6 separate regions of the Mus musculus genome follow, and all the other regions are reported to be linked to region 6. Evidence: microRNA targets listed by miRTarBase, many of them from high-throughput screens and not tested one by one. Region 6 holds a microRNA gene; each other region holds the end of a gene's coding sequence.

What was found. The annotated mature microRNA mmu-miR-129-2-3p reads AAGCCCUUACCCCAAAAAGCAU and lies in region 6 at 3,272-3,293, shown strand. An mRNA with a match to its seed (bases 2 to 7 or 8) in the 3' UTR can be bound and repressed. Matches are read on the target gene's strand: a 7mer-m8 pairs with bases 2 to 8, a 7mer-A1 pairs with bases 2 to 7 and ends in A, and an 8mer does both.
Region 1: the mRNA of Klhl24 is a reported target of mmu-miR-129-2-3p. Seed matches in the 3' UTR shown: 7mer-A1 at 3,448-3,454 and 8mer at 3,514-3,521.
Region 2: miRTarBase lists Hsbp1l1 as a target of mmu-miR-129-2-3p. Seed matches in the 3' UTR shown: 7mer-A1 at 4,014-4,020.
Region 3: miRTarBase lists Lima1 as a target of mmu-miR-129-2-3p. Seed matches in the 3' UTR shown: 7mer-A1 at 765-771 and 8mer at 830-837.
Region 4: the mRNA of Ndufaf7 is a reported target of mmu-miR-129-2-3p. Seed matches in the 3' UTR shown: 7mer-A1 at 886-892.
Region 5: miRTarBase lists Lrrc3 as a target of mmu-miR-129-2-3p. Seed matches in the 3' UTR shown: 7mer-A1 at 2,682-2,688.

The regions. Positions count from the first base shown.
Region 1 is chr16:20,122,405-20,127,478 of GRCm38, forward strand. It overlaps Klhl24 (kelch-like 24), which reads left to right. Exons shown (of 8, transcript NM_029436.3): 8 at 502-5,074. The coding sequence ends at 702. Among named protein-coding and RNA genes, the nearest start is that of Yeats2, 16 kb to the right of the region's middle.
Region 2 is chr18:80,226,228-80,231,301 of GRCm38, forward strand. Hsbp1l1 (heat shock factor binding protein 1-like 1) reads right to left here. Exons shown (of 5, transcript NM_001136181.1): 5 at 3,524-4,334. The coding sequence ends at 4,329. Among named protein-coding and RNA genes, the nearest start is that of Hsbp1l1, 18 kb to the right of the region's middle.
Region 3 is chr15:99,775,667-99,780,740 of GRCm38, reverse strand. It overlaps Lima1 (LIM domain and actin binding 1), which reads left to right. Exons shown (of 11, transcript NM_001113545.1): 11 at 1-2,273. The coding sequence ends at 444. Among named protein-coding and RNA genes, the nearest start is that of Cers5, 5.7 kb to the right of the region's middle.
Region 4 is chr17:78,946,446-78,951,519 of GRCm38, forward strand. Ndufaf7 (NADH:ubiquinone oxidoreductase complex assembly factor 7) reads left to right here. Exons shown (of 10, transcript NM_028611.3): 9 at 1-24; 10 at 430-1,607. The coding sequence ends at 645. It overlaps Prkd3 (protein kinase D3), which reads right to left. Exons shown (of 19, transcript NM_001171004.1): 19 at 2,960-5,074. Among named protein-coding and RNA genes, the nearest start is that of Ndufaf7, 12 kb to the left of the region's middle.
Region 5 is chr10:77,896,301-77,901,374 of GRCm38, forward strand. Lrrc3 (leucine rich repeat containing 3) reads right to left here. Exons shown (of 2, transcript NM_145152.4): 2 at 1,275-5,074. The coding sequence ends at 4,527. Among named protein-coding and RNA genes, the nearest start is that of Lrrc3, 3.7 kb to the right of the region's middle.
Region 6 is chr2:94,239,595-94,244,668 of GRCm38, reverse strand. Mir129-2 (microRNA 129-2) reads left to right here and starts at 3,216; the gene lies at 3,216-3,305. It overlaps Mir670hg (a long non-coding RNA gene), which reads left to right. Exons shown (of 8, transcript XR_003953878.1): 3 at 1-1,356. Mir129b (microRNA 129b) reads right to left here and starts at 3,291; the gene lies at 3,227-3,291.

The sequences.
Region 1 (5,074 bases), not on the chromosome of region 6:
GCAAACATCTTTTACCCAGAAACCCATTTACCAGGTCCCCTTATGGTTTGAGGTGTCTGTGTGTGTACACACGTGTGTGTGCATTCCATGTGTATAAGTACTCCCCTCCCCTCATGCCCCAGATACCAGAAAAGAGTGTTGGATCCCCTAGAATGCCTGCTGGGAACTGAACATGGGTCCTCTGGAAGAACAGCAGATGCTCTTAAGCACAGTGCCATCTCCAGCCCTGCTCTGGTTTTTTAAATGCTTATTTCCTATACTGGAATGAAAGCCTTGTCAATCTCATCTAGGCCTCTGTTAGTAACAATTCATCTTAGTATTCACTTCATGTAAATCTCAACACTCAAACATACAACAGGAGTTGGGCAAAAGGGATATTATGTCTCCCTTTCTTATATTTTGTTAATGCATGTTGATGCTTTTTTAGTTTATTGTCAAATCCTTTATCTCTAATAGTTAATTGGTTTTTTTGTTTGTTTTTTTATATATTTGGTTAAACAGGAAAACTGTGGTATGTCTGTTTGTAATGGTAAAATCTATATCCTGGGTGGAAGACGGGAAAATGGAGAAGCCACAGATACTATTCTCTGTTACGATCCTGCGACAAGTATCATCACAGGAGTGGCTGCAATGCCCAGGCCAGTGTCCTACCACGGCTGTGTAACTATTCATAGATACAATGAGAAGTGCTTTAAGCTCTAACTAAACCCAGGATACCTCACACAAGAAGCCAACGTCAATCCAAGAGGAAAGTTTTTAAAACGACCACGTGAGAACTCAACTCCTTTGCATAAAGAAATAAATAATCCTGATGCCTTTCTGACCCAAAATTCCAATATTTCAAGCAGTCATAAATCCTTTCCTGTACTGGGGGTGGGAGGTTGGTTGAGTGAGACCAGTGCTCACCTTTACCCCAGCACTCAGAAGGCAGACTTCTATACGTTTGAACCCAGCCTGGTCTACATAACAAGTTCTAGGCCAGCAAAGGTTACACAATAAGGCCTTGTCTTTTGAAAAAAAAAAGTCATAATTTGGCCTATGAATATACTTTGGCATTTTTGAAATACTATGTGGGGTAGGCAGTACTGCCCAGTGTAAACTTCATAGGGATTTGTGAACCATTTTTCAGGAGTGTGTCCTGTTTTTGTCAATTATGTAGAGAGTATTGCATGAATGAAGCTTTTTTTTTTTTTTTTTTTGGTTGAATTGCCTGATGTTAAGAATGTTTAGAATTCATTGTGAGAGGAAGAAATGAGTTTGTTTTGTTCATTCGTTCACTTTAACAATTTATTTAACTTTGTGTACATTGGTAGAAGGGGATCAGATCCCTTGGAACTGGAGTTACAGACAGTTGTGAACTGCCATGTGGGTGCTGAGAACTGAACCCCGGTCCTTTGGAAGAACAGACAGTGCTCTTAACCACTGAGCCATCTCTCAAGCCCCAAGAAATGACTTTATCCATACTGGTTAATTCTATTGAAGGCTTTTTGGGGTTTTGTTTGGTGTTTTTTCTAATTGTAAAAGTGTAGTGACAATTCAGCTACCATAAAATACCAAATTTTATGACTTTATAGACTATTCTCTGATATTAAATACTTTTTGTGAGTTGATGTAGGAGATGTAAAAGTAAGGAGATTTAAATTATACATTAGTCCCTAAGGAAAAATTAAAATTACTATTGAAGAAAAAAAAAATGTGATCCACTTTGGTTCTCAGGGTATTTAATGACTCATCTGTGCGTCCACTAAAGAATTTCTTTCCTTTAAACTAACATAGGAGTTGAAATCCCTTTTACAGAGCAAGGCAGGTGTCTGTGTTCAGGATCTGTTTCCCAGGCATGGTAGTGCAGACCTGTATCCAGGATCTGGGAAGTGCATCAAAAGAAACCAGATGGGCTGAAGAGATGGCTCAGTGTTTACGAACACTTCCTGCACTTGCAGAGAACCTAGGTTTGGTTCCCACCCTTATCAGGTAGCTCACAATTTCTGCAATTCTAGTTCCAGGGAATCGAACACCTTCTGTCCTCCCTGGGCATCTACAAATATATGGTGCACATAAATTCATACAGGAACACGTGTATAAAAGAAATATATCTTAAGACAAAATTGCATTTGCAATACTGCTGTAAGAAAAACAAGAACAGGTTTGCTCCTACCCAGCCTGACAGAGTTGGACCTAACTTGTGTGATGCCTTGTGAGTGCCTCTCCGCTGCCTTGTGAGCAGTTATTAGCCTAGGAGAGTTGTCTAATTCCTTAATATCCTACAGCAGTGGGGCCTCTCACTTGTAACTCTGACCAGCAGCAGTTCCGGTCTCCAGAGAGAAATCTCTTATTTGGGAGAGCTCTTTTATTTGTATAAAATACTGATCATCATTTTCAGATTTCTATTAAATTTTTCCCTCTAGGTTTTTTACCTCCATTTTGTAAAGCTTAGCAGTTTGCAAAGGGAAATGTGAAATTTTTCTTAGACACATAAGTGAATACAGCAGGAATTAGCACAACTAATTATTGTAACTTCCAGTGCCCTGGGCTGCAGCAGGTGACTTGCTGTGTAACTTCCCAGTCTCTCACTATAATATACTCCTTGTCAATGACAATGGTGTCAATCGATTTCTGTTCAAATTCAGGCAGTTATCAGAAACCTAGCATTGGCAAACAACTTTTTCCTCATCTTAGGATAATACAAATGTATTTTAAGAGTCATGCTTAGTTGGAATCTAAATTCTGAGAAAAATGCTAAAAAATACACTTAGGAAATGGTTTTCAAGTCATAAATTATAAGTGATATAGCTATAGAAACAATGCAGAAAATCATCTGTCAGGTGAGCAACAGATGTATGTAAAACTGAGGGTATGTGTACTGTAATTTTATAGTAAGTATCTGCATTATGCTTTTGTTAGAGAATGGAAATTGTTTAGTTCAGAAATTCTTAACAGTTAAGTGTGTGAACAAAAGTGTTTTATAAATGCTTAGGATTCTACAAATGATAATTGTTATTCTCATGTATATTTGTAAGATCATGTCCATTCATAAATATATATAAAAGACTTGGTCAAAGTAAATTTGTATTTTAGTATTTTTGTCTGTTGTAAAAGTATTATCTACTTGTATCTTATAATGTTTATCTTTCATATATTCTCATGTTTATTGCAGTAAATTGGAAAAAATCCTGAAAATCAGAATTTGTTCAAACAAATTAATTTTTATGTTACAAATTATATTAAAAGTTACCAGAAAGTACCTGAATCCTAGAAAATTAACTTTTAAAAGCTACCCAATTGGTATTTTAACTTCCTTTAATTACTTACCTTTGCTAATCCTTGATAAATAATAGTGGTAAGCCCTGGTTTAAAAAATAATAATTTTGCCGGGCAGTGGTGGCACACGCCTTTAATACCAGCACTTGAGGGGCAGAGGCAGGCAAATTTCTGAGTTCCAGGACAGCCAGGGCTACACAGAGAAACTATGTCCTGAAAAAAATAATTAATTTTAGGGTATAATAAATGTATTAAAAGGGCTATATCAACCATCCTAGAGTCAGACTATCTTCATTCTGTTATCCCATAATTGGCAGACTTTCTTTTGATAGGTGATGTTTATATGAGCCTCTAAGTTAGGATGTGTGTGTGTTTATATGTAGATAGTATGATGTGTACATATATCACAAACACCCAATGGTTTTTGCAGTTTAATTATCAGAAATTTGTATAAATTAAAAAATTAGTTGATCATAGACAATTTGATTACATAAGACTAAATTTGAACATTTCTAGAGTACTCTTTATTGTTGAGACAGGATCTCTGTAGCCTGTGCTAGCCTCAAACTCTTAGCAATTCTTTGCCTTCTGAGAGCTGCAGTTAGAAGAGGAAGCCAGGACCATTTTCTAAAATAAGCATTTCATCTGAAAGTGCAGATCTGGTCTTAAGGATCTGTGCACCTGTGTAACTACAGCGTTACAAGGCCAGGAAGCAGACCTGGAGATCTGTGTAACGACAGTGTTACAAGGTCAGAAAGCAGACCTGGAGATCTGTGTAACGACAGTGTTACAAGGCCAGGAAGCAGACCTGGAGATCTGTGTAACGACAGTGTTACAAGGCCAGGAAGCAGACCTGGAGATCTGTGTAACGACAGTGTTACAAGGCCAGGAAGCAGACCTGGAGAGAAGCGTGCAAACACCGCTTGTGGCTGTTCAGTTGGAAAGGTCATATGTTTTGTGAATCAACAGGAAATTACAGTTGGTTTTTGTGTACATTTTCATGAACTTGAATCCTCCTCCAAGTCTTCTCCATGTACTCCACAAGGTGGCCTGACTTCCTCCCTGTCTGCTGTACTCTCCCACACTGACTGACTGACAGGAATTGGGTTCTCCACAGCCGTTTGTCATAGATGGGCGGTTGGGATCCAGGTGTTTACTCCATTGGAATCAGGTTTTAAACGACCAAATGCTCAGGGAGGGCATTGGCTTGTCTGAGTCACCCATCGGGTGTGCAAAGCACTCTCACCATTTAGTTGATGGCTCTAGACGGATATGTTTCAGAAATTTCACTTCTAGCAGTGGTTAAACATCCATTCTGCTTGGAAAGATGACAGTGCTTGGTGAGCCGGCACACTCTCCTGGTGAATATGAATTGTTTCTGCATCTGCTGTCAGACCCCCATTTTGAAACTCAGGAAAGACAAAGGTGGGTTTTCTGCTTTTGTCATTGTCCAACCCAGGTGTGTGCTGCTTTTTCCTGATCTGACAGTAGATTTTTAAAAATCACTCTGAGAGCCCATGCACATACACGAAGAGAGAACGGGAGTTGGATTATTTGTGTGTGCCTTTAACGTCTTGAGAGGATACATCCTACAGACTTCATGTGGTACCAAGATAATGTCCGGAAGCTTCCTGTGGACTGCCTCATAGTCAACCCAAGACATTACTAGTTAAAACGATTTGGTCTTGCTGGAGTTAGTGGTACAGAGCTGAGTGTGGTGGCAATGTCTGATTCCAGTCCTTGGGAGATGTGACAAGAAGATCAGGAAAGTTCCAGGACAGCCATGGCAACAGAGCCAGTTTGAGGTCAGAGTTGG
Region 2 (5,074 bases), not on the chromosome of region 6:
TTCTAACTAAACATAAATTATATAAAGCGTGGTATAAAATTGGGCACGGTGGCACATATGTGTGATCATAGCCCTCGAGGGATGGAGGCAGAAGGGACTGGAGTCCACGGCTAGTCTGACACCATATCTCTAGTCTGACACCATATCTCAAAAAGAGCTAAAGATAAATAGAAGTAACTGCATCTTAGTGTTATAAGGAGCTAGGTTTGTTGTTGTTGTTTTGTTTTAAATCTGAGCACCTAGCATGTAACAGACATTGAGTATATCCCTAACATTCTTTCAAAGAAGGGGAAATGGCCAGAAAACATAGAAATATGCAACACCGTTTAGGAGGGAGATGCCGTCAACCACAGTTCGATTCCACCTCTCCTCCACTGGGGTGATGGTTTTCATAAGATCAGGCAATAACAAGTGTTGAAGAATATGGAGAAATTGGAGTCGTCCTAAGTTGCTGGTGAGGCTATCTCACAAAGTTCAATATGTTATCATCGCTGTCGCTCCTAGGTATAGACCCAAGAGAACAGAACGAATACCCACAGCAGCAAAGATGCAGAAGCCCAGGTGTCCATGAGTGGGTGAACACATGAAATGTGCGGACGGGCAAGTCCCCTTGGACAGAAAGAGGTTGGTGGTTGCTTAGGACATGGGCATGAGGTAGGAAGTGGGCATGGAGCTGCAGGGTTTCTTTGAGATGATGAACATGTGCTAAAACCAACTGTGTTTGCACCACAGATATCAGGGTTATCGTTGTGAACTGTGTGTGGGTGAATGGCATGAAATTAGAATTATACTTTATCGACACTAGCTTTTCAGATGTTAGGAGAGCAGGGTGGCAGGCAGTGTCTGTTTCCACATCGTTCCTCTCGCTCTTTGCCTGCTTGGACTCTCAGAACAGAGTGAACAGACTAAACAGTGGAAGCGTGTTTTCTCAGTTCTGGAAGAACGAGTCCAAAGTCCGGAGAGAGTTGAGCTTCATGTCACTGGCTTGCGGAGCACAGCGTCCTCGTGGGCTTTCCTTACTGTGCACACAGAGAAAGAGCCAACTTTGTGCCTCTTATGAGGACGCCAGGCCTACTGGATCAGGGGCCTGCCCTTGTGACCTCATTAACCCTTAATTACTTCCTTAGAGACCTTCTTTCCAAACACAGCTGCCCTGGGTCTGTGTATAAACACAGCAGCTGGGGTGTGTAAACATTCAGACACAGATACGGAAGTTATGCTCCTGGTTGGCTCTCTCAGTGACTGACCATCCTCCCTGGTGCTCCCAGGCTGCTTAACAGTGCCTTGATCACCTATTCCAGCCTTGATGCAACTGAAGCCAGCCGTGGTTCTCTCTCTGTACCTGGAGAGTCATCTCCAAACTTTCCAGGATGCCCCTTAGGCAAAACCCAGGAATTACTCAAGATGAAGACTAAACCGAGAGGGGTCAGAAGGAGAACACCATCAAGTTTGCAGAGATATACAAAGTAGCCAGTGTATACAAGCAGAGAGGCAACCTCTTGCAGCACTCACTATTCAGAAGCCACACCAGGCACAGACCAGAGAAAGTAGTCCAGTGACTGTTGCATAGCACTGAGTCGTTGGTCCAGAGGCCCACGTTCCAACTGGTGAGCCCAGTACAGCAAACAGCAAGATACAGAAAGCTGTGGGCTGCCTGTGCAGCCTTTGAGCATTCATGACAGACCTGACACATGGTGTTCCTGCTGTCCATTTTGGAGCCCTGAGGGTGGACACCCCTGCCTGCTCTGGACCCACAAAGAAGGCATGACAGATACAACACAGAGCAAGGCACAACCTGAGGTTAAAGTATGGGGCAATCCCTTGGTGGTGGGTGGGTAATCCCATCTCAAAATTAATTTTTCAACTGATTAAAAACATAATTGTTTTTTTTGTTTTTGTTTGTTTGTTTGCTTTGGAGACTAACCCTGTAACCCTGGCTGGCTTAGAACTCACTAAGACCAGGCCACTTAAACTCACAGAGACCTGCCTGCCTCTGTCTCCTAAGTGCTAGGATTAAAGGCAGCCCCCACAGGTCCTTAATTTTAAATTAAACCCCAAGGCGGGGTTCAGAAAGTAAGCTGGACGGACAAATGTACAGAGGCTCGTGGAAGGCCAGTGAGGACTCGTTTCTGGGACAATGGATATGTAAACTCTGTGAGGGGTTCGTTTGTTCACTTTTGTTTGCTCTTGGTTTTGAGAACTGGCATCTGTTACAGTGCCAAGGCTGGCCTCAAACTCATGATCTCCCTGCCTCTGCGTCCCTGTCACAGAGATTGCAGGCATGCGCCACTGACTGCCTGGTTTCTGTGATGCTGGTGCTGATGCTGATGCTGATGCTGATGCTGGTGCTGATGAATCTCAGGTCTGTATGACTCATTTCAAACATCCCCTGTGACTCTGCTAAAATTACAGTTATGACTAAGACACTTTGAAATTTAGCACCCAGTCAGATATCACCGACGTTATTTCAAACCACCAAGACCATCAGACATGAATGATCCCATCTAAGGCGCACGTTTTAAGATCAGAAGACGCCCACCGTCACTGGGAGCATTGGGTGGCACTTCCTTCCTTAGGTGTGTTTGGTGGGATGCTGGGGATTGAGTGAAGCTTCTGGCTTGCTGAAGGTTGTTGGGTAATTTCTCACAATGACGTTATTAATAATGCATTGAAATCAAGTAATGATCACAGTGTCCAAGAACTAGCAAACCTTCAGAAGCCTGGATGTTTATTGCCATATACTGGAATATTAGGCAGCCGCTTGGGGGCGATGTGTGGAATTTTCGCAAGGAACAACGTTGTGGTAGATAAAGAAAATAGGCTATTAAATTATAGGGAACAAAACTGAATCTATTAAACTCCATAGGACAAGTGTCATCGGAACCAATTAGAGGTAGAATTGGGGTGACTTTAACTTTCTATTATGTAGGAATACCTTTTAATAAACAAAAGACCCTTTAGATGACAACAGCTATTTTACACTGGTTTGAGTAACTATTCGAAAGGCTAAGAAGCCATCGAATTATCTTGACCTGATTCTGTCCTGCAGTGATTCCTTGGTGGGGTGAATTTCACCCCAAGGCACAGGGAAACTCTCTGGGGGGGGGGAGCATCTGCCCCCAAGGTGAGAGATGAAACAGTCTGGTTGCTATGGAGCCGCTTGCTTTTCTAGTTCCTATGTGCTGAGTTGGCTCAGCTCTGAGGTTGTCAGTTGGTAGAACAGTTGCCCTTGGGTTTTCTTAGCCTGGTTATGATAAGTTGAGTCTTGGAGGTAGGAGTGACTGGCAGGAGGGAGCTACAGTAGTTATTGGAAAATGGATACAAATGAGACGATCGAGATGGCTCCGCAGCTTAAGAGCATTGATCTTCCTAATGGCCTGGATTAGATTCCCAGCAGCCACATGGGCACTAACAACCAACTTTTACTCCAGTTTCATGAGATCCAACACCCTCTTCTGGCTTCTCAAATACGGCACACAGATGCACTGGCATACATGCAAGCAAAACCTCCATACACATAAGGTTTTTTTAAAAAATAAAAAATGTATTAGCAGGCTCATATGCTTAGAAGAACATTGGCCAGGTGGTGGTGGCACACATCTTTGATGCCATCACTCAGGAAGCAGAGAGAGGCATATAGGCATAGGTGGGGGGAGGTGGGGAGAAAGAAAGAAAATCCTGAAACTGGGAGAATGGGGAGGGAAGGATATGAGAGTAGTAGGGGAAGGGTGAGAATGTGATAAAATAGTACCGTGTGAAAAATACAAAATACAAAAAATAAAAATAACTAAAAGCACCTACATCAGAAGGCTATGACCGTTTTTAAAGCCAAGTAGAAATTTAATTTGGACTAGGTATGAACTAATAGAGTGAGTGCATTCTTCCGTGATTTGCAATAATTTGTCCTTTTTCACAAGTCTCGTCATTGGTAAGTAGTCACCTTGTGGATTATGTTATTATTTTATTGCTTTTCTTTTCATTTTGTTTGTTTTGCTAGACAGGGTTTCTCTGTGTAGCCCTGGCTGTCCTGGAACTCCCTCTGTAGGCCAGACTGGCTGCATGCCTCTGCCACCCAAGTGCTGGGGTTGAAGGCATGTGCCATTATGGCCCAGCTTTGTTCTTCATTTGTTAAAGTGAATTTTAGTTTTCAGTGGGTTAGGGTATAGCTCGTTGGTAGCCACTTGCCTATAGTTTAGGCCCTGGGTTTAATTTTAAGTGTCCAAAAAAAATTTAAATGAACATCAAAATTCATACTGCATAGATTATTATTACTCAGACGTATGGTGTAGTTTTTGTTTTAGCAATCCCACGTGACTCGTTTAACATCTTCAGGTCTGAAAGAGAATTTTGAAAGAGATTAGTTTATTTACACCCCTTATATTACCGATCAATTAATGTTCAGTTAAATAAATTCAATTGAAATTTCCAATAAAATTCCATAATTACCAGGAATTGTTAAACATTTATATAGAGGCAAAATCCAGTACAGAGAGATTCTTAAATGATGGATTTTGCTTTCTTCATTCAGGTAAGAGTCACAGTGTATCCAGAGCTCCGATTGCATGAACAGCATGCACTTTCAGGCGATGGAGCAGCAGCAGGTCCCCAGGGTCTGGCACTATGACTGACCACTCACTGTCCTCTGGTGGGAAGGGGACAGGACCTTCTAGACAACATTCTGCATTTACTGCATGCAGAAGAGACTGTGCAGATAAAACATGACTCCATCAAATATAAGGGTTTTTAGTAAGGGTATAAGATGTCTCCCCAATAGTTGCCAGATTTTTAATATGAAGCCCCCAGCCAAGAGAGAGCACAAACCGGGGCAAGTATTCTAATTATGTAGGTCTTTAATCTGGAAGATTTTTAACAGTGTTTAAATAAACATTAAAAAAGGTCTAAGCCGGACCCTAATATAGCTGTCTCTTGTGAGACTATGCCGGGGCCTAGCAAACACAGAAGTGGATGCTCACAGTCAGCTATAGGATGGATCACAGGGCCCCCAATGGAGGAGCTAGAGAAAGTACCCAAGGAGCTGGGGGGATCTGCAACCCTATAGGTGGAACAACATTAT
Region 3 (5,074 bases), not on the chromosome of region 6:
TCGCCATCTCTCAGGAAAGGTTGGAGCGAGTCCGAGCAGAGTGAGGAGTTTGGAGGAGGGATAGCGACGATGGAAAGGAAACAAACGGAAAATGCCAGACCCTCTGGGGAGAAAGAGAATGTGGGAAAATCACGCTGGCAGGGCGAGGAAGTGCCGAGGAGCAAGGACCGTAGTTCTTTTGAGCTGGAGAGTGAGAATTTTATGGAAAATGGAGCAAACATAGCTGAAGATGACAACCATGTCCACGCACAGCAGTCCCCGTTAGAACCCGAGGCTCCGGGTTGGTCTGGCTTTGTAGACACCACGGCTGCTAAAGAATTCACTACCCAGAATCAAAAATCCCAAGATGTCGGGTTCTGGGAGGGAGAAGTGGTCCGAGAGCTGTCTGTGGAGGAACAGATAAAGAGAAACCGGTACTATGATGAGGACGAGGATGAAGAATGACCGGCCGCCATGGTTCTGGCCTTAGATTTTGGTTAGCAACTCACTGCCCTTTATCAAGTGGTGCGCAGAAACAGGCAGCTTGGCGCCAAGGGTCATTCATGTGGGAGCAACTTTGGAAATGAATTCCCGCTAGCAAAACAGGGCAAAAACAAGCAAAAACAAAACAGACAAACAAACTCACCCAAAACCAATTCTAAGCGCATTGTCAAAACACCAGTGATCTTTTAAGCCTGGTGTGGTGGTAAACACCTTTAATCCCAGCACTCCACTCGGGAGGCAGAGGCAGAGGCAGGTGGGTCTCTCTGAGTTCCAGGACAGCCAGGGCTACAAAGAGAAACCTTGCCTCAAAACAAACAAACAAACAAATCCCTCCATTTTTTCAGGGAAGGGCTAAGTAGGGATTTCTCTCACTGATGCTGCCTGCCATCCACTGCATTCCCCAAATCAAGATTGGTGTGGTTAGATATTTAGAGGCTTGTTTTCACACTACAGAGACCATTGTGGAATTAGAGACACACACAACACATTTAGGAGCCCACCTCATGACCAGAGGCACTTTAGTATAAAGGGCACAGTGTAGCTATTTTACCAATTTCATTTTTTAGTACTCAATTGCTGAAAATCAAATATTTAGTCTTTCAAGCTTTTGAAATGCATTCTCTTCCTCTGGTAGATAGGGAAAGCTTACTGTCTTTCATCCTACATCCTGTATTTTTAATCACTGAGGCACAAAACAGCAACCTTTGGCCAAGTGAAAGGCGCTGGTTACTGAAGCCGGAGCAGCAGTGTTCAATCCCCAAAACCTACGTAAAGGTGAGAGAGCAGACTGCACAGAGCTGTCCACACGTGCCCATCATCAACAATAAGAAACAAGTTAAAAAAAAAAATACAACCAACCTCACAAACACCTGCGAGACAGAGAACCAACCTATATACTTTGGTGTTTGGAGAGACGGACATTGTACCCAGATAATCAGTGGCGAATGCCAGTGTGTCTCCCTGCACTCTGGGTGTTTGCCATCTCTTCTGGTGGTTTCTCGCACTTTGCGGAAAGCTGCAGTGTTGCTGTAAGACCTTTTGGATCACGCTTCACCATGCTCCAAGTAAAACAACCTGAGATCAGAGCTGGGAAGCCTCAGGTCGAGGCGAATCTTGGCTCTGAAATGTATTGATTTTTAGGCCAGATAATTCTTCCAGGGTTGCATTAAATCACTTTTAGGTCTGTCTTCTTAGGCCGTGTCCTACTTTGATTCATTGTAGTGATAAAACACTGGGCAGGAGCAACTCAGAGGGGAAGGGTTTGTCTCCACTCACAGGCCACGGGTCACACACAGGCCACGCGCGCACGCAGCATGGTCAAGGGAAGCGAGGCCAGAACCCAGAGGCAAGAGCTGATGCAGACCGTGTGGGAACACTGCTTGCTGACTTCATCTCTGTGGCTTACTCAACTGGTTTTCTTACACCACCCAGGGCCACCTGGCCAGGGGTGACACTGCTCACAACAAAAACAGACAAGGCCCACAGGTGCATCGGTTAGAGGCGGTTCATCAGCTGAGTCCCACATCCAGGTGACTCTGTGTGAGGCTGGTAAACCCAGAGGAGGATAGATGGTTTTCTCTGGTATTAAGGCTTTAGAATATTATAAACGAGTGCAGTTCTTGTATGTAACTGATATTCCAAATGATGTGTATGGCGGGGTGGGCTTAAGGTAGTGGCCTCTTTGCATTTGTAGAGATTTAGCTCAGTTTTAGAGATGTAAAATAATCTGTTTCCTTATGGCCTTGTTTAGCCTAAAACATTTTTATTCAATAAAGCTTTTAATTTACATTTCCAGTGTCCACACTGCTCTTATTCCCGTCTCCTCCACACTGCTCTTATTCCCGTCTCTTTACACAGGGTCTCTCGGAACCTGCTTCTATTGAGCAGCTTTTAGGGGGAAAATGCTGTGAGTTCATTTGACCACTAGATGGCAATGTAGAACCGAATTGTGCACTTTTCATCTACCCTAAAGACTTTTTTGGGAGTTGGGGGGCTGCAAGTAATTTGGCAAGAAAATTAGTGTGTGCATTCAAAATGAACTGTTTGTTTTACCAATTCAAATTCCAGTGGCGGATTTTACTGTTTACCGCATTCCGCATTTACTAATTTACCTTATGATTGTGTCTGACACAAAACAGGATTTTCAGCCATCTCTGCTGAAGACGCACGCTCTTCGCTCTGGGTGTGAGCGCGTTTGGTTGATTTCTTCTATAGAATCAACTTCTCCAAGTGTTTCCTGCTGCCATTGATTCGTGGTTTCAATAATAGCCTGAAAACCAAAGGTGGTGGTGGTCCATGCGTGTAATTCCAGGACTCAGGAGGCCTCTGAGACAGGAGGATTACTGAATTGGAAGCCAGCCTAAACCACAGAGTGTGAGTCCCAATCTCAAACAGATCAAGAGGCTGGAGAGTTGGCTCTGAATTTTAGAGTGAGTGCTGTTCTTCTGAAGGACTCAGGTTTGGTTCCTAGCACCCTCGTGGTGGCTCACAAGAATCTGAACTCCAGCTCTACAGAGTTTGACACCCTGTACTGACATCCACAGATATACACTTAAATAAGGATTAAAAAACAAGCCAGAAGCCGGGCGTGGTAGCGCACGCCTTTAATCACAGCACTCGGGAGGCAGAGGCAGGCGGATTTCTGAGTTCGAGGCCAGCCTGGTCTACAAAGTGAGTTCCAGGACAGCCAGGGCTACACAGAGAAACCCTGTCTCAAAAAACAAAAAACAAAAAAAACAAAAAAAACAAAAAACAACAACAAAAAAATGATTAAAAAATAAGTTGGAGTGGTGGCACGCCTGTAAACCCACCCTGTGGGAGGCTGAGGCCAGCGTGGGGCCGGAAGTGTGGGGCCAGCCTGTACTACAAGAGAGACCCTGCCTAAAAAGACCATCTTAGAAATTTTATTTAGTTTCCTATGATTGGATTTCTTCGGAGAGATGTGTGCTTTGGGGCAATCTATTTATTAGGTCACCCAGCATCTTCTCTCTAGTTTTCCACCTCACCTCACCCTAAGACAGGGTTTCCTCTCTGTGTAGCCCTGGACGTCCTAGAACTCGCTCTACAGACCAGGCTGGCCTTGAACTCACAGAGATCTGCCTGCCTCTGCCTCCTGAGTGCTGGGATTAATGGTGTGAGCCACAATGCCCAACTCTTAAACTCTCCTATCAGCCCAGGGTTATAATTCCGAAGTCTCACCTCTGCCCTCCACAGCTTCTCACCCTCGGTCAGTTTCAGCTTCTCTGTCATCTCTCGTCTTCTCTGCCTCTGTTCTTGACTTCCTGCAGTCTGCTGTTGATCAGGGCTTTGTATATCCCACTCAAGAGCTGTTTTCTCCCAATACGCTACTATGTGACTTCAGGTATACAGGCACACGACGTAGGTGTACAAACAAAACATGTACCGATAGTAAATTATGAGGCAACTCGTTTTTGTAGAAATGTTGATTTTTATGGTGAATGGGTATTTTGCCTGTATGTGTGTCTGTGCACCGTATGCGTGCCTGGTTACCATGGTGGCCGGCAGCATCGTTGCTCACCTGCAACTGGAATCACAGATGCTTGTGGTTTTCTGTGTGGATGCTGGGAATTGAACTTGGTTCCTCTGGGGGAGCAGCCAGTGCTCCACTGAACGATTTCCCCAGCCCAAAATATTTAAAACAGCTCTCTGGTATACAGAGAGTAAATTTGTATATTAATCAGATGGGTTTTATTTTTATAGAGAGAATCAAAACTTGAATATTTGCACATTAAATTTTTTTTTAGATTTATTTATGTGTACAAATGTTTTGCCTATATGCATATGTGTGTACCACATGAGTACCTCATGTCCCAGAGGTCAGAAGAGGGCATCTGAGTCTCTGGAACTGGAGTTATGGGTGTTTGTGAGTCACTGTGTAGGTTCCAGGAACCAAACCTGGTTCCTCAGCAACAGCAAGTACTCTTACCTGCCAAGCCAAGCTATCTCCCCACAGTCTCTGCATATTAGATCTTAATCTTTGGTACTCTAGAATGTAGAGCATTTTTGAAAAATATTTATTTATTGAGATGAGGTTATCTCACAATGTAAGCCACAGCTGGTGTAGAATTTATTATGTAAACCAGGCTGACCTTGAAATCAGAGACATCCACCTACCTCCATTTCCTGAGTGCTAGGATGGCATGATGACTGCTCGGCTGACCGTCAAAGAAGGGAGGCTTGGCTATTGGCTCTTGGTTAAGTCAAGGCAGCTAGGCACGAGTGGAGGGTCTGGCAGCTGTCAGTTGAAGCTGGTCCTTAGGACTTCGGCTTATTTGAAGTAAATATTAAAGAGTATTTACAAAAGGGCCTATTATTAAAGCTGTTTAGCAACGTTTAATTCCTAGCTCTTAGGAAAAGGTGGATTCCTCAGCTTCTCTCACTTTATCACCTATTTCAATAGGAATGATTCCAGTAAACATGTTAAGAATTGCTACATGCACATTTGGGGGGAATTTTGAATAGCATCTTAGACCAAATTCATTGTATACTGGTTCCCATATGCTCAGCTGACATGTTCTTCGTGCTCAGATTTAAAACCTCATGGGCCCAGAATAGCTGTTCATATACGTGT
Region 4 (5,074 bases), not on the chromosome of region 6:
ATGGGCATTGATGTCCGGCTGAAGGTAGTGGTTTATCTCAGTAACACTAAACCTCTTAATTTCGGAAATTATTTAAATTGAGCTACACTGGCGTTAATGCTCTTATAGCGAGCAGGCTTCAGGTGTAATTTTGCACAAGTAAGGACTGGGGTGTGCACAGCTTGCCAAGTTTCTATGTGAGGCTGATACGCCCAAGAAAACCACGTTCATGGGTATGAAATCATGACTCCTCTGTTGTTACGGAGCAGATCGCCTGGGATATCTGCTAACGATGCAGATGTATACATTTGGATCACAGCATCCTACAGTTAGAGGACACTGTGATCCCATCTGGGGAATTGCTGTACTGCATCATTTACATCATTAGTCCTGTGCTGGGGAATGCTTTTCTTCTGGTGATGTTCCTTAAAGGCCTTTCTTTCCGCTCAGGTTCTCTTGGATAAAGCAGGTGAGCCATCTGCGAAGCAGCAGCTACTTGGAGGGTATGATATGTTAATGAATCCTCAGAAGATGGGAGAAAGATTTCACTTCTTTGCCTTGCTACCTCATCAGAGACTTCATGGGGGGAGTCAAGAAAGGAATGCCTGCCAGTCAAAAACCCCCTCCTCCTCTGTAGCTGGGTTTGATGAACTTGTTTGGCAGTGATACTTCAGCTTGAACTTTTATTCCTCAGTGGGCCTTAAAAATCAAAATAAACAAAATTCACTTTGCATATTGAAGTAACATAAGTTTTCAAACTAGTATCTCTTTTCAGTCAATAAAAATAGCCTGTTTATGCTGGGCAGTGGTGGCGCATGCCTTTAATCCTAGCACTCGGGAGGCAGAGGCAGGCGGATTTCTGAGTTCGAGGCCAGCCTGGTCTACAGAGTGAGTTCCAGGACAGCCAGGGCTATACAGAGAAACCCTGTCTCGAAAAAACAAACAAAAAAACCAAAAAAACCAAAAACAAACAAAAAATAGCCTGTTTATATAAATACAATCAAAATGGTAGAATGTCAAAGGTTATAACTAACTCTTGGTATAATTGTTTTCAACCCAGTAAAGTGATTTATTGTGAAATTGTCTCCTTATCAACTTACTGTATTTCTATTTGATTTTTAAAAACACATATGAGCACTGATTGGTTTGTTAGAAACTGGAGATAAGGTAAATGGCTATTTCAAGTCAACAGATCTGGGTATTTTTAAAGGGCAAAAGCAGTCAGTGTATTCTGGTAGAAGGCTCTCTTAGGGTTAGTAAATGGAAGAAGTCAGATGTGCGTTTCTAGAGTTAAGATCCTGTTTTTGCTAAAGGAAAGAATTAACTGAGTACGTCAGTATAGACTTAGTTTCCTGTTCTGTGCACAAGTGAAGGAGGAGTAACTGGGAAGGAGTCGGCAGCTCTCCACTCTGGAAGCAGGATTCGGAAGGATTCCAATGCCTCTATGGATGAACGTAAAGAGTGGTAACACAAATATTAAAGACGTAAGAAATAAAAGTCATAGTTAGAAAAACCTGTACCAAATCTGACTTTTACTGAAATAAAAATTAAGAGTAATGTTAACTCTCCAGGAGGAGCAACTTCCTAAGCTGAGCTCATTCTCAGATAAATACACAATTTTAGCTGTGAATTAAGTTGTCTGTAGAACTTTCCTATTAATGCGGTGAATGGGCATCTGGGGACGTGGTTAGCAGCAGCAAGTCCTATGAGGGGCTTAGGTGGACATGGGATTAGCCATGGGATTTGAACTCAGGACCTCTGGAAGAGCAGTCGGTGCTGTTAACCACTGAGCCATCTCTCCAGCCCCCATCACTTATTTCTCTGTTGCTGCTTCTGCTTAGCTGAGAATGGCATTAACATTCTGTGTCTTGGTCTGTAAGAAAAGAAGGAATGACGCCATATTTAATTGGTGTGCTATGCTGTATGCACACTTCAGCCACAGCACCTACAGTTTTTATACGTACCCTGTGACTAAATTTAGGGCATTGCATTTACACGTGAAGGTTTATAGCGGGTATTTTTTTTTTCTCCATTGCTGTCCAACTTTGTTTTTGAGACAGCATCTCTGAACTCAAAGTTCCTTAATTTGACCAAAGATTGCATCCCTGCCCCTTCTGTAGCAATGTCACACTGGGTTACAGGCATGTAACCCCATGGGCGCTGGGGAGCCAATCTGAAGCTCTTCTGGTTTGTTTTTTGTTTCTGTCTTTGTTTTTAAGATTTATTTATTATATGTAAGTACACTGTAGCTGTCTTCAGACACTCCGGAAGAGGGCACCAGATCTCGTTATGGATGGTTGTGAGCCACCATGTGGTTGCTGGGAATTGAACCTTCGGAAGAGCAGTCAGTGCTCTTAACCGCTGAGCCATCTCTCCAGCCGGAGCTCTTCTGTTTATGCAGCAGGGACTTTATCTTCTGAGCCCATTCCCCAGGCTTATGCTCCCAGCCTTAGACCATTCCTCATCGCTCTGTTCTTCTTTTCTATCTCTAAAGCCACCGTTTCATGTCCCTCTCCCCCCCACAAGGACCAGGCTAGAACATTTGAAAGAAGTAAATACTGACAGTTGGCTCCTCCCACATACAGAATTGGTTTCACTTTTTATAATTAAGAGGGAAGAGTCTAGTAGTGCTTTCTAGTCTCAAATTCTAGAAATTTGATTTTTCATGAGACCTTTGATTTTTCTAAGTCTTTTAGTAATACCTAGGATAGTCGCTCAAATATTTAATTATCATTATTCTTTGTATTGTATTCCAATAAATGAACCCTCTAGATAATTATCTCAAATGCAGTATACACCTGAAATGACTTTAAAGGGTTGTCTTTCACAGAGGATATATAAATATATATGTGCTCATGTAGCATTGGCTATATTTACAAAAAAACTCCTGTTACTCAGGCCCGGGGAAAATATTATAACCAAATACAACTCTCTTGAGATCCTTATACTAGAGATGGTCTAAGGTTTTCACATAGGAAAGTATGGTGATAGAGAAATACATTTTATTATCAAGTTTTGAGAATATTTACAAAAAGTGGGATGTAACAAAAAATATAAAATGTACTAAACAGTGTCATTATACACTACTTTGAAAATTGTCACATGTTTCTAAGAAACAATTACTTTCATATATGCAAACACAGCTTGGCTTTAAGACAATGACAAAAAGTTATGCAGGTTAAACAGTGGAGTGGTTACTCAACTCCGCACCGTGACAGCGCCTTTACAGTCTCTCTTTAAACAGCACAGGGCTTTGACAAAAACAGAGTGCAATTAATGTCATGGCTTGTAAAGTCTGATTACAGAAGTACAGCAAACCAGCAGTCATTTCAGTTAGTTCTCACCTCCCATGGTAAAACCACCGTGGGCTGCCTAGTGACACACACGAGTTCCACCTTGTACATACTGGTCAAGCAGACTTAGCAGAAATGGAAAAATCCATTCTTAGAAGTTTCTTAAAATTACTCTTCACAACTACTGTATGAAAACAATTACAGAGACAGTTTGGAAAGTCTTCTGGAAATTCTTACAGATGTACAGTACATTGTCAATGGCTGGGACGGGTAAAGGGATTGGGGATATAGGCCTGGGTTTAAATCCATATTTAAACTCAATGCACTTTGACAACTAACCCTGTGCCTCAACTTTAAGTGTGCTTAGTCATGTGACTATTGTGAGGACAGTTCAAAGCATAAACATTTACAACCGGGCACCCCTGCTGTTTCTGTCACCTCAAGAACATTTTTAATTTTAGACAGATCACTGCAGCTGCATTCTCATCTGGGATGGCACTTAGTTTTGGTCTGCTCACACACACAGTTTTTCCTTTGCTATCTCAGAGCCCGTGGTAAGCGACAACCCTGGCATTCCAGATTGTCACAAGTGGTCACATAGCCCAATCTTCACAGCCACATGGAGGAAGGCAGAAGGAAGAATTTATGGTGTCTACTCTACAGACTGAGAAACTAAGTCAAACAAATGCTCAGACAATGTTATCTGCTCAGCCCCACAGATCCACAGAGTAAAGACACTTAGGCTTAAACCCAGGCTTTCTCATTCCAAATTCTTGCTCTCAGCACAGAAAAGGAAAAACAACAAGAAAAACCTGTTTTGTTTTTGTTTTGTTTTTTTTTTTTTGTGACTAGTGAGGAATGAAGAAACAAACAGCTACTATATTTCTTGTGAGAGGATGGTCCTGGATCTTTTTCTCTTTGGGTAAAGCACAGGTGGGAATATCACTAATGTGGAAATCTGAAGGACTCCAAAGTTTCTTGAATTTGGAGGATTTCGGATTTGTAGGTCAGGGATGCTCAACTAGTAGAGTGTGCAAACATTTCAGTATCTGGCAGTGAAACCTTCCTGGTGTAGAGCAGCTCAGATAGGGATACTGACCTTGTATTAATAACTACTACAAAACAGCTGGCTGTTGGAGCTGAAGTGTAAGACGTTCTTACTCCTTCTCCATCCGCTCTACTGGTAATTAGGTCCCACCTCAATAAACTAAGTTTTCATGTTTGACTTCAGTCACTCCTCCAAACTGCTCAAACGACAATGCTAATTTAAAAACACTAGGTATTGGAAACCCCATCCAAAGGCCAAGGGAAGAGGAAACAGATAACAGTGACATCTACTGACCTGTGTTAGCTTCCCTCTCTAGTATGTGATTTTGTCTATACATTATTCAACTCCAGGTGAGGATAAATTAGTTAAATGCAGCGTTGTGCCCACCGACTGTGGCATACTGTAACATGATGGTGCCAATTGAGAACATACGTGTTCAGAGGCAGAGCTGAGTGATGACCAGCTATTTCTATTCATTTGTAACACCAATTGTTCGATTATCCTAGTGACTGTTATAACATGGAAAATGTGACAACTCTTCTGTCATACAGGCCATATGGAAAGACGCATCCACCGGAAGGCCAGCAGTACAATGGTCTGCTTATCGGGTCCAGGAAGGAGGAAGCAATGCCTCCGACAGTGGACAAACACTAAAGGTCCTTACAGCAAGCTGTATGCTGTTAGCCTCATGGTTACTGCTTAACTGCAAACCTGTTGAGTAATCAACCTTATAAGCAATAACTAGACAGTCATA
Region 5 (5,074 bases), not on the chromosome of region 6:
AAGTCCAGAGAGCTACAAAATTCCTCAGAATCCCAGGAAAGCAGCCGCCACCTCTGGATTCTGGAAAAGTCAAATAGATGCTGCTACAGAAGAGACCCTTAAGCAGGCAACTGCCTCTAGAGGCCTGGGGGGAGGGGCGAGGTGCAGATTAACACTCCCTCCAAAGACCACAGACACAGTGGGCCAGGAGTGAGGGATGGATGCAATGACAGGTGCATGTGTGCAGAAATGTAGTGCATGCCTCTAAATCTGCATGTGAGCCTGTGTACACTCACATGAGTGTAACAATATCTCTGTGTCTGTCTGGCTTACATGTAGTGGAAATGCATATGCATGTATTTATGTATGTGTGTATACGTGTGTGTGTGTGTGTGTGCACTTGCAGATTGTGGAAGCTCCTGGACTCCACTCTGGCTACACTGAAGGTTTCCTAGAAGGGACAAGCCAGTTTGCAGGGAAGGGAGACAGGCTGACGGGTGATGTGAACACTCTTTGGGTCTTCCAGCCACATTAACTGAAAACTGACTTGGGTGTGAGAGTGCTCCATGGCAGAAAAGCATTCTACAGAGGGAAAGAGATTGCATCCATTGTCCAGCCCAGAACCCAGAGAACAAGGCAGGATAGAAAGTAGGAAGGGATAACCCAGGCTGGTAGGTGGGTACCAGACCATCTGTGGGGACACAAAGTCTCCAGATAGGGCATCTGGAAACAGCAGTTGGAAAAGTTGGTGAGGCAGACAGGCGGGCAGCCGTGACCTCAGAGCAGGGATACAAAGCTGTCAGGAGACAATAAGCATCCATAGATGGTGAATCCCAAGGGCCATGGCCCTTGAGAAATCAAATCCTGAAGATTCAGAAAAGTTATCTTTGGCATGACAGTGTGGCCTAAGGATCATGGCTTTGTGGGAGCCACCCGCACTGTGGCTATCCGGGTGCTGCTGGCTCAGCCTGGAGGCCACGCTGAACTGTTCTCACACAGAGTGCTGTCAAATAATAACTGCTTCCAAGGATTATGAGGGTGGGATTCTGACATGTGATGTTTACCAATTTCCTTGGCGTCGAGCCTCTACGTGGTCAGATTCAAGGCACCATGGTACAAGCTGGCTCCCAGAATTCCTGAAAACTTAATGACGGCCATTATGATCTAACTATGACAATCAGTTGTCTAGCTAGTTGAAGATGCCCTCCCAGCTGTGAGGACCTGCAGACAGATGTTGACACGGTCGTGAGGGATGGGTGTCGGCTAGAATTGAAGATGACAGAATCCCAATCAGCTTTCCTGCACAAAAAGTTTTATTGAGGGCTCACAGAGAGGCTGGGAGAGGACAGAATCAGGTTCGGGGCTGAGCTTCCAAGAAAGGCAACATAGAAGCCATCCTAGGAGCCTAGTCCTAGTCCTGAGAGCTGCCACAGGCTCAGAACATTCCATCTCAGTCTGTGACTTACCACCCCTCAACCTCTAACCCCACCCAAGGATTTCAATTTAAACCGTGTCTTAGGCAATCACATGTAACTAGTGGGAGGGAAAGTGCCCAAAGGAGCCAGTGGGTGGGACCTGGGATGATAGGTTTATACTGATGGGGGTGAGGATGGGGCAGGACACTGAGCCATGTGGCAAAAATAAAAACAACAAAAAAAAACCCCGCCCACTGTGCCTGAGGAACACTCAAGTCGGGGTGGGGTGGGGGTGGAGATGCGCAGAGTAGGGGAGGACTGACCCAGAGTCCTGGAGATCTAGAGGGTCTGTGCAGAGTTGGGGGAGGAGAATATCTCATTCAAGGAGAGAAGGAAGGTGAAGCTGGTGGAAGCAGGTGGGATCCAGGGAGAAAGACAGTTTCAATGCAACCATCCACATCTGCAAGTCTCCAGCAGAGGCTCCAGCCTCATACACTTAGCCTGTGAGTTGGTCATGGGAAGGAAGGGAAGGGTATCTATATACATGAATGAATGACATGGAATGGGACGACAGGGAGATAAGACTCTGAGGCAGCAGGGTTGGAAGCTTGGATGAGCAGGAGAGTGCTGAGGTCTCTGAGGTCCTCCTTATAGGAGGACAGGGCATGCTCTCTCCAGGGTCCATACTCTCCTGAGTCTCCCATCTCCTCTTTCCAGCAAGGGCTGAGCAGGAGCTGTATAGATGTGCAACCAGGTAGGGCTAAGCCCTAGGTTAAGAGCAGCAAGCCTGGCAGTGGGTTGAGCAGCCTGGGACGGAGCCCTACCTACACCGGTGTATCTAAAAGACCCAATAGGGTGTTTCTGGGACAAGAGCAGCTACAGACTTCACCACCAGGCCTCCACCCATGTTCTTTTTTGACCTGGTTTTGTCGATGGGACAGACATGCTGGATAGTGGCAAGCTCCAGAAACAGGGTCCCTCTACTGAGTAGGATGGTAGAAAGGCCGCAGGGGCCAGCTACCTCCCAACTTGTGCCCCTGCCTGGAAGCAGCTACCGTCCCCACCACATGGTAATAGGAATGCAAGCCATACCCTCTGCACTGGCACCTCCCAGAGTATGTGTCAGGCTAGAGGTGTCCCTGTCCATGGGACATACATAGATAGCTACTTCAGCACTGCCACAGCACCAGGGTGGTACCTGGTCCTTAATCCAAGCCCTCAGCTCTGGCTTTTTTTTGTTTGTTTGTTTGGTTTGGTTTGGTTTTTTCGAGACAGGGTTTCTCTGTGTAGCCCTGGCTGTTCTGGAACTCACTCTGTAGACCAGGCTGGCCTTGAACTCAGAAATCTGCCTGCCTCTGCCTCTCAAGTGCTGGGATTAAAGGCGTGCGCCACCACTGCCTGGCTCAGCTCTGGCTTTTTAACCTCTTTTCCTTGGCACAGCACCCTCCAGGGTCCAAATCATACAGCCCTCAGCACCTGCCTCCTCTGAACACTTAACTGGGTACTGGGTATTGAGCATGTCTGTGCCAATGGGGGCCAGGCAGCATCACAACGTTGACTGGTGTCCCTAAGGAGGCTGCTTCGAGGTTCCAATTCTCATGGGAATGGGAATGGTCCTACTAGCTCCGCCAGGGTCTGACCCTGAAGACAGTGTAGCTTGGCCCAGGGCTGTGGAAGAATAGTGGACAGCTTGGGAGCTCATCCAGGGCTCTGTTCACCCTGCAGATGCCAGGCATGGTGGCCCCACGGTCACCATGTAGGTGTGGGCATTCAGCAGTGGGGAAAGTCTGGAATTCATGAGTGTTTTTCTCTTCCATATACTTTTGCAGCTGACAGCCATGTAGCCTCAGGCAAGTGTGTCACATGGTGACAGAACTGTGGGTCACACTGACGGTAAGGACCAAGTCAGGCCAGGCCCCCAACATAGTCTCACCTTGCCCCTGCAGATCACAAGAAAATTCCCAGCACACACAGAAGCCACATTCAATTTCTGCTCAGAGCGGCATCTAGACCCTATACTCAGCACACACACACACACACACACACACACACACACACACAGACACACACACTATGCTCATTTACTTCTCCCAGATACTCGATGACGACATAGCTTAGGGTATAAACACTTATACAAAAGGACAGTAAATAACAAAACTGGAAGTCAAGTCTAGTTAGGTGGCTAGAACATCTACCCCTGAAGATGAAGTAATTACAGGTAAGAAAGTTGATCAGTGAGCTCTGGGATTTCAGCGAGGTGAAGAGAAGGTTCTTGTTGCTAGAGAAAAGCAGTTCCTGTTGACTGGCATGGCAACCTCAAACTTCAGTCCCTCCTCTTTCTGAAAAAACAGCTGCTTTAGATATTGGCAGTAGAAAGCAAGGCACAAGAGCCACCGAGGTTGACAGGTTTCCACTGCCCAGGAATGGATAGAAGTGGCAGAAGCTGAGGCAGCCCATAAGTGGTCTAGCAGCTGACACGGCCATGGTGAGCCCATGCTGGACCTTTCTCACGTTTCTCCATTTTCTCCCTCTCGATGGACTGACATTTTGGCACAAGGGCAACTAAAGAACTCCCAGGACAAAGGTCAGAGCAGACCAGTGCAGGCTGGACTTTGCACTGACCTCTCTGGAAAGGTCTAGATTGCCGGTACTTTGCTCTGGGAAAGGGCAAACATCTCTGTGTTCAGATGTACTGGGAGAGCAGGGGTAAACAGAAATGAGCCATTCCCCGGTGGCAAAACTGCTGGCGCCATCCTCCCTGCCAGGGCCCCCATCCTTGCGTGCACAAGTATTTACTTCCCACAGCATGGTGTGGGAAAGGGAGGTTGGCAGATCAGACGGCTCACAGACCTATACCACAAACAGCCTGGGTTTAAGTGGCAGCTGAAGCCAGCCTTGGCAAGGAGTTCCGTTTCTCTCGACCTCCATTTACCTACCCATTAAGATGGGCAAACCCCCCTCCCCCCGCTACAGTGTTAGGCAGTGGCTGCAGGGACCAAATACCAACTATGAAAGTGCTTTTTTGGGCTGAACAGCTGCAATGCACCTCCCTGGGGACACAAGAGCACCATCACCTCCACCTGCTGCAGAAAGACAGGGTAGCCAGGCTCAGTGGCCCACCGGAGGTGGGTGCTAGGGCACAGGGCTAAGAGGCTCCTTGGAGACTGGAGCACTAGGCAGGGACTTCAGGTACTCCAGGTGTCGTCTGGCATCCTCCTGGTTGTGGCGTACGTAGTACACTACGTAGGCAATCACCATGGTAAACCAGCCGAACATGGTGACCAGCATGGCGACATCGGTGGTCTTCCGGTGGGTACTGCAGAAGCTGGCACCTGAGTCCAGGACCTGGATCAGCGGCTTGCCCACAAACTGCTCCTGCGCTGAGGTGTGGCAGGCAATTTCATCCACGGAGTCCGGGTCCAGCTTTAGTTCCCACAGGGCCTCCTGCAGGGCACACTCACAGTGCAGTGGATTGTGGGACAGGCGGATCTTGGCACTCAACTTGCCCAGGGCGTCCTTTGGAATTCTTCGGATGCGATTGTGGGATAAGTCCAGCAGCCGCAGGCCCCCAGCCAGACCTGAGAAGGCTGCTGGCCCAATGGCCTCAATGGCATTATGGGACAGGTCCAGCTCCCTCAGCTGAGGCAGGTGTTGGAAGGCTCCATTGGGGACTCGGGAGA
Region 6 (5,074 bases):
GGTAATAGTGCATCTTTAAACTGACCCACAAGAGTACACGATGGGGAAAACAAAGCACTCTTGCAGTCTGTAATAAGGTTACGTGCACACAGGAACATCGAGATCTTTGAGGAGGGGGGCACAGGATAGCGAGAGGAGACTAGCTAGCTCTTCTATCTACCTGGAAGCGGCCCGCCTTGAGTGAGGGACCTGCACAGGGCAACCGGATTGCAGTCCCTGGAGGGAAAAGAGGGTGGTGAGTCGAGTTAATTTTAGCTCAGAAGCGGTCCCTTCCTGGGCAGATTTCCTCGCTGAGGCTGAGGCTGAGGCTGAGACTTCAACTCCTAATAGTAACAAGGGCTGTTCCTGAGGTGCAGAATTACCAAATAACGCTGCAACCCACACTTTGTCTTGACAACCCAAGTTTAAAGCAAAGCTGCTGCTAGTAGTCTCATGTCCCACCCCTAGGCTTCCTCTTCATTCAAGGGGTAGATATGCCAGTTCCCTTTCCCAAGCCTCGCCCCTCTCAGCCCCACAAGTTGTGGTGTTTACAAATTCTGCCTCATTTGCAAAGGAAATTGCCAGGAGAGGAAGGGGGCAATAAGGCACCTGCAACACGTGGAGCCGTGGCAGTGGGGTTTCCGAGAGTCATAAAGTGGGGGGGGGGGCACTCCGTGTCCTTATGTCCCTCCAGCCCTCTGCCCTTGCGGTTTTCACTGCCTGGCACAATGCACAAGTTTACCCCCCCCCCCCCAACTGGATCCTATTAAATAATTCAATGGTAGCGGTGCAATTTTGGTTGGAACCAGCACGGATTCCCAAGTCGTGACTGCAAAAAGTGAGTAATGCGCGCTGGCTGCGTCATGGCTCTAGTCACACTTCATTCCGAACTGAGAAGGAATCGTGACTTCGCCTGGAGACGTCCCCTACATGGAGTTGGGGGGGTGCAAACCAGGGGTGAACGGGGGTGGGGGGAAGACCTATCCAATGAAAACCTCTGCCAGGGGGTGTTGCATTTGAACTCCACTGCGCGCAGTGCTGCTGTCCCCTCTCTGCCCGTTGCACACCCGCCCCTCTCCGGGCCAGCGCTCTCTGCCGCGCTGGCTTGCCTCTCCGGCTCCCCAACGAGTCCTCAACAAGTTGGAGGGAGGCAGGAGCGCACGGGTTAAACTCGGGAAGCTGCAATTATCAAGATCGTGACCCTCCCACACAGTACAGTAACTTATATACTTACCTGGAAGAGCCCGCTTTGCCGCTGGGCAAACACCCATGGGGGTTGGGGAGGGGCAGGAGGGGAGCGGGCTGGCCAGAGAGGGCTGCTTCCAGACCGCTGCAGAGCACACCGAACCAATGCACTCCCAAGACCCCCGGACTCAGGTAAGGAGAAAGAATTTGCAGCGCTGGCCGCCTGGTGGTCGGTAGGCTCAACGGTCGGCCGAGCAGAACTTTTTTCCCCAATTGCCCTGCGCTAGAGGCAAGCGCAGACTGTGTAGCCCCCTCTGGCGCGGCGTTGAGACGCGGGGAGGGTGTGTGCTTGCGTCTTTCCGTAACCGAGCCAAGCGGAGGGGATGCAGTAGGAGGGTGGGTGGGTCACAGAGCTGTAGGAGGGTGATGAATGGGCGGAGTGGGTGGGCCGACAGGAACTTGGGAGACTAAGGCTCCAGGTCCAGAAATGCATTCTGTGGGTATGATAAGCCAAGGGTGTGTGTGTGTGTGTGTGTGTGTGTGTGTGTACGCGCGCGCGCGTACCTGCCTGCAGGTCCATTCTGGGATGGCAAAAAAAAAAAAAAAAAAAAAAAAAAAAAGTGAAAAAGCCAAAACAAAACCCAACTTTTGCCCCCAAGTTCTTGTGATGCTTGTAGTAACCACCCTGACTTAAGTTTTTTTTTTTTTTCACCCCCTACTGGAAGGGAGATAGGCGTTTGTTTAATCACACCCTTTGGCATCCCTGGGGCTAGGCAAGAGGGCACTGGGACTTGGGTGGGCCTGCACATAAAGAAGAGGGCATCCCCCTTAAGTTAGGCTAGATGGAATGGGGGAGGGACTTAAAGGGCAGGGAGGAGGGGGGAGAGGAGAGACTTTGCCCCCTCCTTCCTCTCTAGCTCTCTATTCCCCTCCCTCCTGCAGATGCTGGAATCTCCTGTCACTGTGACAGTCAATGCCCAGCTCACCCTTTCTTGTTCCCTCAATATTTTGCAGAAGGGGGGGGCAACAAGGAAGGGCACCTGAGGCAAATGGGCCATTAGACACCATGATCTGGACAGGTTGGGGGCTCTGGGGGAGGGAGAAACTTCACCCTTCTTAGTGAACATTCAGAACTTTGGGGGGGCAGAGTGGGGTAGGGGGACTCGAAAAGGTCTAATTTTCTAGAAATAGGCCAACTAGAGTGGGATTTGAGCTTGTTTTATGTTCATCTTTGCCAGTCATTTTCCGTCTGGTTCTTCTGGCTTAGGTCCCGATGGAAGAGGTCGCTCTCTTGAATCCCTCTTTCCCAATATACACTGCCACCCCCTCACCTGGGCTAGAATGGGAGGGAGTCATGGACAGCTTTTGGAACAACAATATTTTAATGTGTTCTAGTCTAGGTTTTGTTGAATAATTAGAAATGGAAATATTTTTCTCCCTCCCCCTTCTGGAAAAAAAAAAAAAAAAGAAATGTGAGCTCTCTTCTGATTGGTGGGTGACGATTTTAGTCCACACCAATGAGCTGGCGGCCTTGTCTGTATTTATTTAGTGCTCTGGGGGAGTTTTTCTCTTTACGCAGCGCCTGTAGTCACGGCTGGAACCTCTGCTGGGGGACTAGGGAGGATAGGAGGGGATTCGGGGGAAATCTGGATCGTACCTGCTCAGAGATCCACGACCTTGCAGTCAGGGCTGTCAGAACCCTGATGGGGGAATTGGGTGATAGACTAGATAGGATCGGAGGCTTGGAGTGCTAGGGCGAGAGGGGTGGAGGCAGGGCTCTGGGATCCGGGGTCCCCCTTCGAGCTACCCTTATCGCTCTCCACTACCTCTTCGAGGTTGTGCAAGGCTGAGTCGGGGGATCTGGAGATAGAGAGAGGGATGGGTTTGGGGACGCGAGGAGGGGAGAGCGGCGCGCAGGGTGGGGAGGATGAGCCGCGGTGGAGCGCGCCGGGGAGATCCAGTCTCCTCGGCTTCGGGGTTCGGAGACATGCTGGGCTAAAGGCGGCGGCGACGGCGGCGGCGGTGGCGGCGGACCGAAGAAGCGGGTAGACTGCCTTTCGCGAATCTTTTTGCGGTCTGGGCTTGCTGTACATAACTCAATAGCCGGAAGCCCTTACCCCAAAAAGCATTCGCGGAGGGCGCGCTCGGCGACGTGACTGCAGCTACCAGCGACCGCCGAAGCCAGCACCTTCCCGAAGCGGCTCCATCCGAGACTTCCCCAGTTTTTCTCCCCGTTTTCCACGGAAGAATCAGCTCTTTCCTCCCCGTCCTTTCCGCGCTCCGCGAGGCTTTGATCACTCGCTTTCCCGAGACATGTCCCCCGCCCCCAACTTTTTAGTCGACTTTGTACCACAGGGGGAATTGGAGCGGGTGGCGTGCGTGTGTTTTCGAAGAAGTGAGAAGAAGCTAAAATGTAATAAAAGTTTACAGAAGTTGTGTCGTTCCCCCACACCCCACACCCCAAATATCCCCACTCACAATAAGGGGGGGGGGCATGGCCATAGGGCCAAGTCAGTACCTAGAATATGAATCAGTTTAGGAAATTTTACGGTCATTTTTTTTTTGACCCTAAGGATTGGAATCTAATATGGGGGAGGGGAAGCCCTTGAGGGAGGGGCGGTAGGCCCTAACCATCCTCGGTTAGGATGAGCGGAATCTAGAGGAGGTGAGATGAATCTCCGTGAATCCGGTAGCTCCGAAAAAGAGGGAAAAACACCCAGGCACCGCCCGCTCCCCGGAGCCTTCTTCCTGAACCTGCTTCCAACCTAATTTCAGGCGTGTTGCAGGCTCCAGTACCCACCCATCTCCTCTTTTTCAAAACTAAGTAGCGCAGGAGAGGATGAAACAGGCGGAAACTAGGGAAAACCCCGCGGGGAAGGAGCTTCTGCGAGCTGCAGTTGTTTAGCAGTGGCAGAGGCAGCAGCCCCATGCTGGCCACTCGAGGCTCCTAGACCTGGGAAGGGAGGCAAGCTGCAAAGGGGAGAGCCCGTGGGTCCCCCTCCTCCCCCTCCACTCCTTGCAGTCGTGACCACTTCGGTTACAAGTGGCACAAATCAGGCCTTCAACACGTTTTGTGCCCCGTGCCCTTCGCTAGCTAAGAACACTGCTAGACACCCTTGCCCTTAGGGACTGGGCCAGAAGGACACACAGACACACGCAAATGTCTATGGGGGTGAAAAGCAGTTAGAGGATGTATCTAGGGATGTGATAGCCCAACACCCCGGGGCTGCAAAGCTTCCCATTTTCGGGGAGGGCCTGAATTTCCCCCCGCATCCCAACCTTTCTGCTTTCAACAAACTCTCTGACTCATTTTGGGGGTCCCATAGTTAACCACCTAAGCTCTACTCTCTCTACCCCCTCCTGAAAGAAAAGAAAGGCTAGCAGATGCTGAGAATGCTGGACAGAGGCAGCCGGTGCTAGCTCAGTACGTAAGAAGGCACAGAATGCGAGAACTCCAGACTCCACAGCTAAATCAGGGTCCTTCTCCCCTGATAAAGGATATTTTTTTCCTCCGAATGTATTTTCTGAAAGAGTAAAAGGGTCTCAAAGATTTGAACATGCTATGGAGAGGGAGCAAAAGCTGTGGGGGGATTTTCTTCCTGCCTCTCACCTGGGGCCGTCTGTGGAGCGATAGCTCTGCAGAGGGAGAGGCAGAAAAGCCACGTTAGATTAAAAATAGCTTCGCACTGTGTCCCTTCACCTACTCTTCTGTCTTTTTCTTACTGTATCCCACCTCCTTTCCCTAGTCAGGAAGCCCTTCCCTCTCCAAAAGCCCGACCATTCACCAGATTTGAGATCGAGGTGACCTTAGAGACGATAACTCGAATAACCTGAACACAGGCTCCTTGGGGTTCCTGAGCCCCCAGAGCCCTCATCTCTCCCACCCAGACTAGACTTGGGACCGGAGTTC